Coturnix japonica: one gene and its partner. The main gene of each other region encodes a partner of the protein of the gene in region 2 in a complex. Links are inferred from orthologs where the notes say so. Each region holds a gene or a part of one and is shown on either strand. Other genes may lie near its edges.

What was found.
Region 1: the proteins of CFAP36 (region 2) and ARL3 are in contact, whole or in part, in a crystal structure (PDB 4ZI3), measured with the Mus musculus proteins. The link is inferred for Coturnix japonica from reciprocal best matches to the Homo sapiens genes CFAP36 and ARL3. Residues at the interface, in NP_080016.1 of Mus musculus: Glu44, Glu45, Ser46, Lys47, Leu48, Thr51, Glu52, Lys58, Val61, Glu62, Leu65, Glu76, Phe79, Gln80, Cys83, Thr84, Ala88, Lys89, Leu97, Val100, Leu101, Ala103, Glu104, Asp105, Phe106, Thr107, Ile108; in NP_062692.1 of Mus musculus: Leu3, Leu4, Ile6, Leu7, Arg8, Lys9, Leu10, Lys11, Ser12, Arg19, Lys35, Glu40, Pro47, Thr48, Gln49, Gly50, Phe51, Asn52, Ile53, Lys54, Trp66, Ile74, Tyr77, Ser80, Tyr81.

What each region holds. Positions count from the first base shown.
Region 1 is NC_029521.1:20,414,818-20,418,634, forward strand, and holds part of ARL3 (ADP-ribosylation factor-like protein 3), read right to left. Parts: intron 1,904-3,817; coding exon 1,760-1,903; intron 949-1,759; coding exon 832-948; intron 449-831; exon of another isoform or gene 1-448. UniProt on the Homo sapiens protein: Small GTP-binding protein which cycles between an inactive GDP-bound and an active GTP-bound form, and the rate of cycling is regulated by guanine nucleotide exchange factors (GEF) and GTPase-activating proteins (GAP).
Region 2 is NC_029518.1:7,374,055-7,377,871, forward strand, and holds part of CFAP36 (cilia- and flagella-associated protein 36), read right to left. Parts: intron 3,808-3,817; coding exon 3,743-3,807; intron 2,855-3,742; coding exon 2,753-2,854; intron 1,882-2,752; coding exon 1,767-1,881; intron 842-1,766; coding exon 754-841; intron 1-753. UniProt on the Homo sapiens protein: May act as an effector for ARL3.

The DNA of each region.
Region 1 (3,817 bases), on a different chromosome or scaffold from region 2:
TGAGACAGAAGGGAGGAAGGGCGTCTTTCAGAGAGAGCTTCCTGCTTTCCCATGGGAGCCTGCAGACCTTGCTTAGAATGGCTTTTTCTCTGCTCCCACTGGCAACAGTGCTTAGCAGGGGGGTGGGCATGAAGCCCCCAGACTGTCTCCATCCTGCCACGTGTGGCTGCATGTTAGAGGTGCTCTTTGAAACTAGTCAGGATAGCACTTAGAAGGTCCCAGGGTAACGTGCTCTGGCATGGTCCCACAGTGTAATTATAATGGTAGTCAACTGTAGCTAATTGTAAGGTAACTGCAGCTAAGATGTCAAAAACATTAAAGGACAGTGTAATGATGAAAGGACCAAAGGAAAAGACAAGGGGTCTCTCTGTGTCCCTCAGCCAGAAGCCTTCTTGTCTGATGCCAGACACAACGTTTAACTCTTCTGTGCCTCGGTTTCCCCAACTGTGAAAAAGGCTCCATACTGACCTACATGAGGTTTAAATCGCTCATACCCATGACAGGCTTTCGGAGTCTCCAGTGAAAAGAGCCATAGATGGGCAAACTACAGGTTATTGATGTTTGCTTTTTTGAAAGAGCCTGAGATGAGAAGAAAGGAACTGGCCACAGCCAGCACCATCCCGTGGAAGCAAAAACATACAACTGAATGGCTTCTCCAAACATCACTGTATTTTTCTTAGCGTACCCAACCAATCTTGCCATTTCACTTGGAATAACTCCTGTTATGATGGCAATGGTGTTGCTGAGAACTGGGACATTACACTACTTGTTCCTTTCTGGCCAAGACCATGGATTACATGAAGATAACATTCAACTGCAACCAATACTTACAAGGATATCAGTGTTTTCAAAATAGTTCCTCCAGTACGGCCTGATCTTCCTCTGTCCGCCTATGTCCCATACGTTCAGCTTGAAGCCTTGAGACTGTACGCTTTTGATGTTAAAGCCCTGGAAAGAGCAGAAACAAAGGCACATAGAGCATAAACCTGAATGGCTGGATCAGATTCACAGGCAGACATTAGCACCCTATATATCCCATGCCTGCACCATGCTGTGAGATGGGCCAGGCAGCCATAAAGATGGATCGGCTGCGGGAGAGGCACTGGTGAAAATGAACAGCCACTAAACCATCAGCTGGCCTGTGTTCCTGGGCCAAGGGTTGATGCTGTCATGGCTACGGAAACATATGATGCAGTTAGTACCCTGGAAAGGCTCAGCAGGGTGGGTGCAGGAAGAGGTGGGAGAGCTGCAGATAAGGAGAAAACAAGGGCACTGTGAGAAGCAGGACTGAGCTTGTGAAAGCTGAGTAGAGAGTCCCAGCTCACGTGAAGCCAGAGGTCTCAGCTCAATTCGACACAACGCAACTAATGCCAGGCTTAAAAGAGCAACAGCTGCATGTCTGAAGGGTCCATTTCATCAATTAAAGCACCAACTGAAAGGGCATTCAAGTAGAAAAACAGGATGTGGCGTGGGCTGGCAACGTGCTGCCGCAACACTCAGGGGACTGGGACTTGGAATTAGGGTGTTGGGGCTGGGAGCTTTGCAAGGCAGCTACAGGGTGGGGGGAAGCATCTCCCATAGCTCTCTAGCAACCTCCTCTGGTCAATACAGGAGCAATGCTGCAGCATTTCTGATGGGTGACATCTATCTCCCCAACCCTGATGCTCCAAGAAGGGGGGCCAGAGGTACCAGAGAGGGAACGATGGAATATGCAGGATGTTTGGAGTTGGCTGGATGTAAGACAAAAGGCCTTCCTCACCTGTGTTGGTGTGATGTGGCTTATGTCCTCAGACGCCAGCTGTTTCAGGAGTGTGGTCTTGCCTGCATTATCCAGCCCCAAGAGGAGGATCCTCACCTCCTGGTCTGGGGTGCTTTTCAGTTTACGCAGGATTGACAGTAAACCCTAAATTAGCAAGAGAGACTGTAGTTGTTATTTCCCTCTGACTTTCCCCACCAGGCCGAGCGACCCATCCCTTAAAACAGCTTCTGTTCAGTGCTGGATCCCAGGACAGACTGAACCCCTACCCTCTTCCTTTCCTACTCTTCCCCCTCCCTGCAATTCTCCTTCATCTCCAAGAGCATCAGTGAGGTCTCAGGCAGCACAAATGCCACTCAGTGGGATGCGCCACTGACTGCATCGCTCATGTCACACAGCTGTTTGGCACTGCCTAAGCCAGGAAGGCAGTGCCTAAGGATATTACATGTAGGAGCTGCAAACCAAGTCCTTGCGAGCTCTTCATTATCTTTATCAGAGGGAAAACCCCATTAATTTAATCTCCCTCCTAGTTAGCTGTAGGTTACGGCACACCTGACATCAGTTCTTTTCATAGTAACTCCCTGATCATCTCAAACCCCGTTTATCTGTCTAAAACATGCTGGACCCATGGGGCACGTGCAGTTCTGATTCTCAGGATGTAGCACTTAACAGCTATCTCAGATCACCACACGTCCTCGCTAAGAAAAGCACAGTGGATTTCAGTCATTAGCCAGGCTCAGCTCTCTGAGCTGACAGTATCACTCAGGATTAGGAAACAGAATATGCAGGTCAGCTCATTTACAACTGTGCACGTTACAGCAGCACACCCAAGCTTTTGTCAGAGACCTGCACCTTTCTGAAAAGGATGGAAAATGGTCCAGATCCTGACGTGCAACCACAAGGAGCAAATCACCCTGCTTCCATCTGGACCTCAGCCCCGCAGGAGAAGGGCTGAGATGCATGGATGCTCCTGAAACTTGTTTGCCTAGGAAAAATGCACCCACAGCTCCTTCTGGAGCCTTTGGGATCCTGCTCAGCCTCCCACAGACCACTGCCATGCCTCGAAGGGCAATCATGAGAATGAAGTTCAGATATCAGCACAAGCCTGGGCTGCAGGGGCCCACCTCTCGAGCAGTTTTGTTCTCCCATTTGCAAAACAGAGACAACAAGGGCAAAATTAGCTAAATGTCACAAAGTGCTTTGTTGCTAAGAGGAACTGCGCCCTCTAAATATTCCTGCTGGGAGCTGAGGACTATCTGAGCCATGAAGGTTGCTCCTCATCCCCTCCAGATCACAGCAATCAGAAGCCTGTCCTCAGGATGAAGGGCTGCAGAGTTGCTGTGCTGCTGCTGCACAAAGTGCAGTTTGGAAAGGACGTGGCACTACCCGTCATGATGTCAAAGCTTTCACTGCACGGTGTGAAAATACACCAGACCCAAACACAGGTTAGATTTGATCCATGCCCTCCAAGCATTTTGGATTTGGAAGTAATCTGTTGGCTATCTATGTAAGTAGCAGATGAAGCTCACAAATACATGATGCAAAAGAAGAGGAGGAACTTACTGAAACTGTTTGATGGATATTTGTAGAATGCTGCGTGGCTGCCATTGTGACTGCACTTTTGTGGAAAGCTGAGGGTCAGAAATTCAGAGCTCGTGCAATGAAAGTTCGTGAAGTGAAATCTTACCCTGCCCCTTGGGCTGCATCACCTGCGCCATAAACAGGCTGCTACACACCTGGGAGGCCAGGCCCAGCTCAAGGTGCTAATGGGGAGCAGGCTCTGCTTGCTGGTGGTCAATGCCCTCATGCACCGCCTGCAGCCCAGGCTGTGACACCCCGTGCCAAGGCCGGGTGCCCACAGCTGGCTCTGTGGGGCTGCAGCAGGTTTTTTCACCTGCAGTCAGATTTATGGCTGCATTTGTTGGCCTTTAAATACACAGAGCTCAGCTCCCCATGAGAGCAGGAACTCTAAAATTCACACGTTCTACCCCCTTCCCAGGAAGGGCTGTGAATTTCCCATTCCTACAGGCTGACCCAAGCCAACACGGACCCATCAAAGCG
Region 2 (3,817 bases):
AGTGTTTACGGAGACCAGGCACTGGATATTAGCACAGTGAGGTGCTTGATGATGTGTTTCAGCAGTGGTGACAGCAGCATGTTCTGGACAGCTAAAGAAAAAGTACTTCCAGAACACAGAGGGCAAAATAATTTAATATAACCCAAATGGGTTAATATGTTATTATTTGTTCATGAGTCTTTATACATGGGTGAACCGGGAGTGGAGGAGAATCTATAGAAGTTGTATCAGTCCTCATGCATCTTAGATCACAATCAGAGTCATTAAAGACAGCTAAGGAGGCAGCTGTGGAAACTAATAAAGACTACTGCAGAAGCAGAGTTTGCCATTCCAAGGTTTTAAAGGACACAGAACGAAGTATGGTACCCTTGTTAAGGAGTAATAAAGCTGCTTTAAGCAGTGTTGGTTTATATCTCCAGACCTGGGTTTAGGGTGCTCGCAGAACAGCTTATAGCTAGTGTGCTTCTGTTGACCAGAGTCACTGAACACAGCTCTGCCTTGTGATTCAGAGGAGAATGGAACCAGTGGGGCTTTTAAAGTTGAACATCATTCCACAAATCACTAAGATGGTTCCATCATGGCAGAGTGGTAATTCTTATGTCTTCAGATACCTTTGATCACATCCACTGTCTAGTATAATTCATTTTTCTGATACCATCTTAAAGCAGTTTCTTAGAAAAGGCTAGAAGCATTAGATCCTATATCCTTTGCTTTTAAAGGAAGGTGGAAAGTAGGACTGTTTTCTTATTTTACCTTAAAACCTCCCTGAGTACTTTCATTTCTTCTTGTTCAATTTCACTGAATACATCAGAACCCTCTGTCAAACAGTCAGGCAACACACCTACCAAAAATATAAAAGTATGCATTACTCTAAAGGATGTTGTTTTGTACTCCGTTGGCATTAGTCTTCAGCCAAAGATAAGAAATAAATCTTGTCGGCAAAGGAGAGAAACTAAAAAATATACCTAATTCTTCCTTATTGTAAACTGTTTACAAAAAAGATTCCACATCCTCAGCACCAAGTTACAAAAAGGCACAAGTTTCTGAAACAAAAATGTTTTGATATCTGAGGGCAAAATATTAGGCTTAGTCTGCATTGATTGTTATATGGTATTTCCTGCAGGCTACAAATCAACCATGGTTATTCAAACCATTTTCTAATCTAGGTATTGCATCAAGCTTAAAATTTAAGAGTTATTCTCTGGAAAAAACATGTGCACGGTAAGACAAAGCAAAGTAATAACACTGAAGACATGGATTAAATGAAGGAGAGGATAAAAATACTTCTAGAAACATCAACAGAGCAGTAGAGTTGAGTGTAAAACATGTTTTCCTAACAGCACTGATCTATTACAATGACAGAGACCAAATTTCTGCTCTGTCCATAGATTTTTTCACAGTGTGGTAGGCATGAGAGACAGTACACCAACACCACTCTGCAAATAGCACAGCTCAGCTATTGGCACTTCGCTCCTGATGAGCTGATGCAATTAACACTCAATAAAATTCTCTAGCAAAAAACAGACCAAGTTTCACACAAAATCTTATAGAGTTCACAATCTGCTACTTTAAAGAGGATAATGAATTGCTGTGTCTGAGAATATAATCCAAAAACTAAATATTGAACTCCTGGTCCCATTAAAACCAGCTCACTGTTCTCCCTTAACTTCAACTAGACCAGCATTCTGTTTTCATTTCTAACTGTATTACACAGTCTTTTAAAAGAAAAAAAAGAAAGAAAGAAACCTCACATTACTACTTCTTACCATTTCTTTCTTTCATGACTCTAATGGCTTGCAACTGCATTTCCATATTTTTCTGTACCATCATTTTTTTAAATAGTCTAAAATCTTCTGCTGCCAGTACTGTTTGCAAAATGGCCTGTGGGAAGGAAGATACACGCAAATTAATTAAGCTACAGAAATCGAAACCTTCTCGGTTTGCTTGAAATTATATCAAATTTCATTCTTTTATCTGTCTGTTTTTTCTAGCTGTACAAGTAGAGTTTACAGGCAAGAAAACAATTTGAGGGTTTATTTCCTTGCATCATCATGGCTACAATATTATCACAAAGCCTGGAGGGTTACCCAGTGTAAGTTTACAATCACAGTTTGTTGGATTTCTAGAACAAATCTGTAAGCTTGAGCAAGGAATGTGCACTCTGACAAATCTTGCTAGAGGAGATATTTCAACAAAGCAAACTTGACACTGGCAGGAGAAGCTCCCACTTCTCTGCCCCATATACCTGAGACAGTTCCTAAAGATAACCTTCAGCAGGCTAAGCAGTGCAGAATCATGCCTTGTCTTCTCAGGGTAATCTCTGTCTTATAGATTTTACTGTTTATTTTTTACAAAATTGGAGGAAAACACATTTTGCTTTTATGTCTGTTTTTTTTAATCTTAAAGTTTTTCTGCTACTATAAACAGGCTGAAGGCTACCATAAAGCTAACAAATCTGCAAATAAAGGTGGCGGGCATACCTTTAAGCTTAGGGGTTTGGTTTAGATAGTACAAAGCATGGATGACAAATCTCAAAAGAGCGACTCCACACAAGTACCTGCTGCTGTTTTAAAGACACACATTTTGCCGGTCAAAGTTTATAATATAAACAGATACATTAGGTTTTAGAACATGGAAGTTTTAAAAAGAAAGCTTTTCAAATGTGTATCTGTTTGCATGTTCAAACATGCATCTGTGGAAAGACAAAGCTAAAAAATTAAATCTATGCATTCCTTAGCAAAGGAAAATATACCTGAGAAGTGTGAGTCTTTGCAAGAGGAGATGAAAAAGCTTCCTGAAATTTCTCTTCAGTAATGCCAACTTCTGTAAGATAACCTTCTAATAATTTTTCAACCTGTAAGAAATATAAACCTTACTTTCTAAGAGATTTTTCCCTATGAATCATGGTGTATCTTCTTTCTTGCTGCAATTGTGTTTTTTAAAAACTCACAAAGAAATCACTGCAATAACATAACTGATTTCTCCAATACTTCTGGCTTATTTGCTTCTATAATCCGTTGTAAACCAACGCTGATTTTTGTTGCTGAAACTGGTTATTGCTTAACTGAACCTCTACAACTTCCAGGGACCTCACCTCTCCACCTTCTCTCCAGACTCCCAGCTGATATTACTCAACATCTGTACTTGTTATGTAAAAAGATTTTCATTCTGCCAGTCTTTGTATCCAATATGCTTCAGGACCACAGCAGAAATCACTGCTGGCCTATATTCATTCCACTCATGGTTCCTGACATCGAGTACTACCAAGTCTTGTCATAAGGAAACACTTTAGAAAACTGCATGCATTGATTTATAAGTTATTTTCAGCATGCTCCAAAAACATTCTGTATTTTGTTCTGATACTTGAAATAATTCAATAGGTTTACTGGTCTCATAAGGAAACAAGTTTTACATGTTTTCTAACATTGTGCTGTTTGTCATTTTAACTTTGCATAACGTGTGAAGACTCTCCAGCTTATAAACAGTGTTCTAGCTAGCCAATGCACTAACATTAAGGAAAAATAGGTAACTGTGTAAGAAAAAATAACATTCCTGCATTTCTGTGTTTAAGCCAAAAATGCAAAGATGACTATGGCTCAAAGGATACCTAAATATTTATGGCATGCAACATTAGAAAATTCTGAATAACAAATATAACACAACTAGAAATATTATTATTATTATTATTTCTGTCAGCATATTATTTCTTAGAAATCTACCACTAATAGCAAATAACACTCACCAGCGCTTGGTATTCCTGATAAATTTCTGTGTAAGACAGCTTGCTTTCTTCTTCATCGTCAAATACTGAAAAACA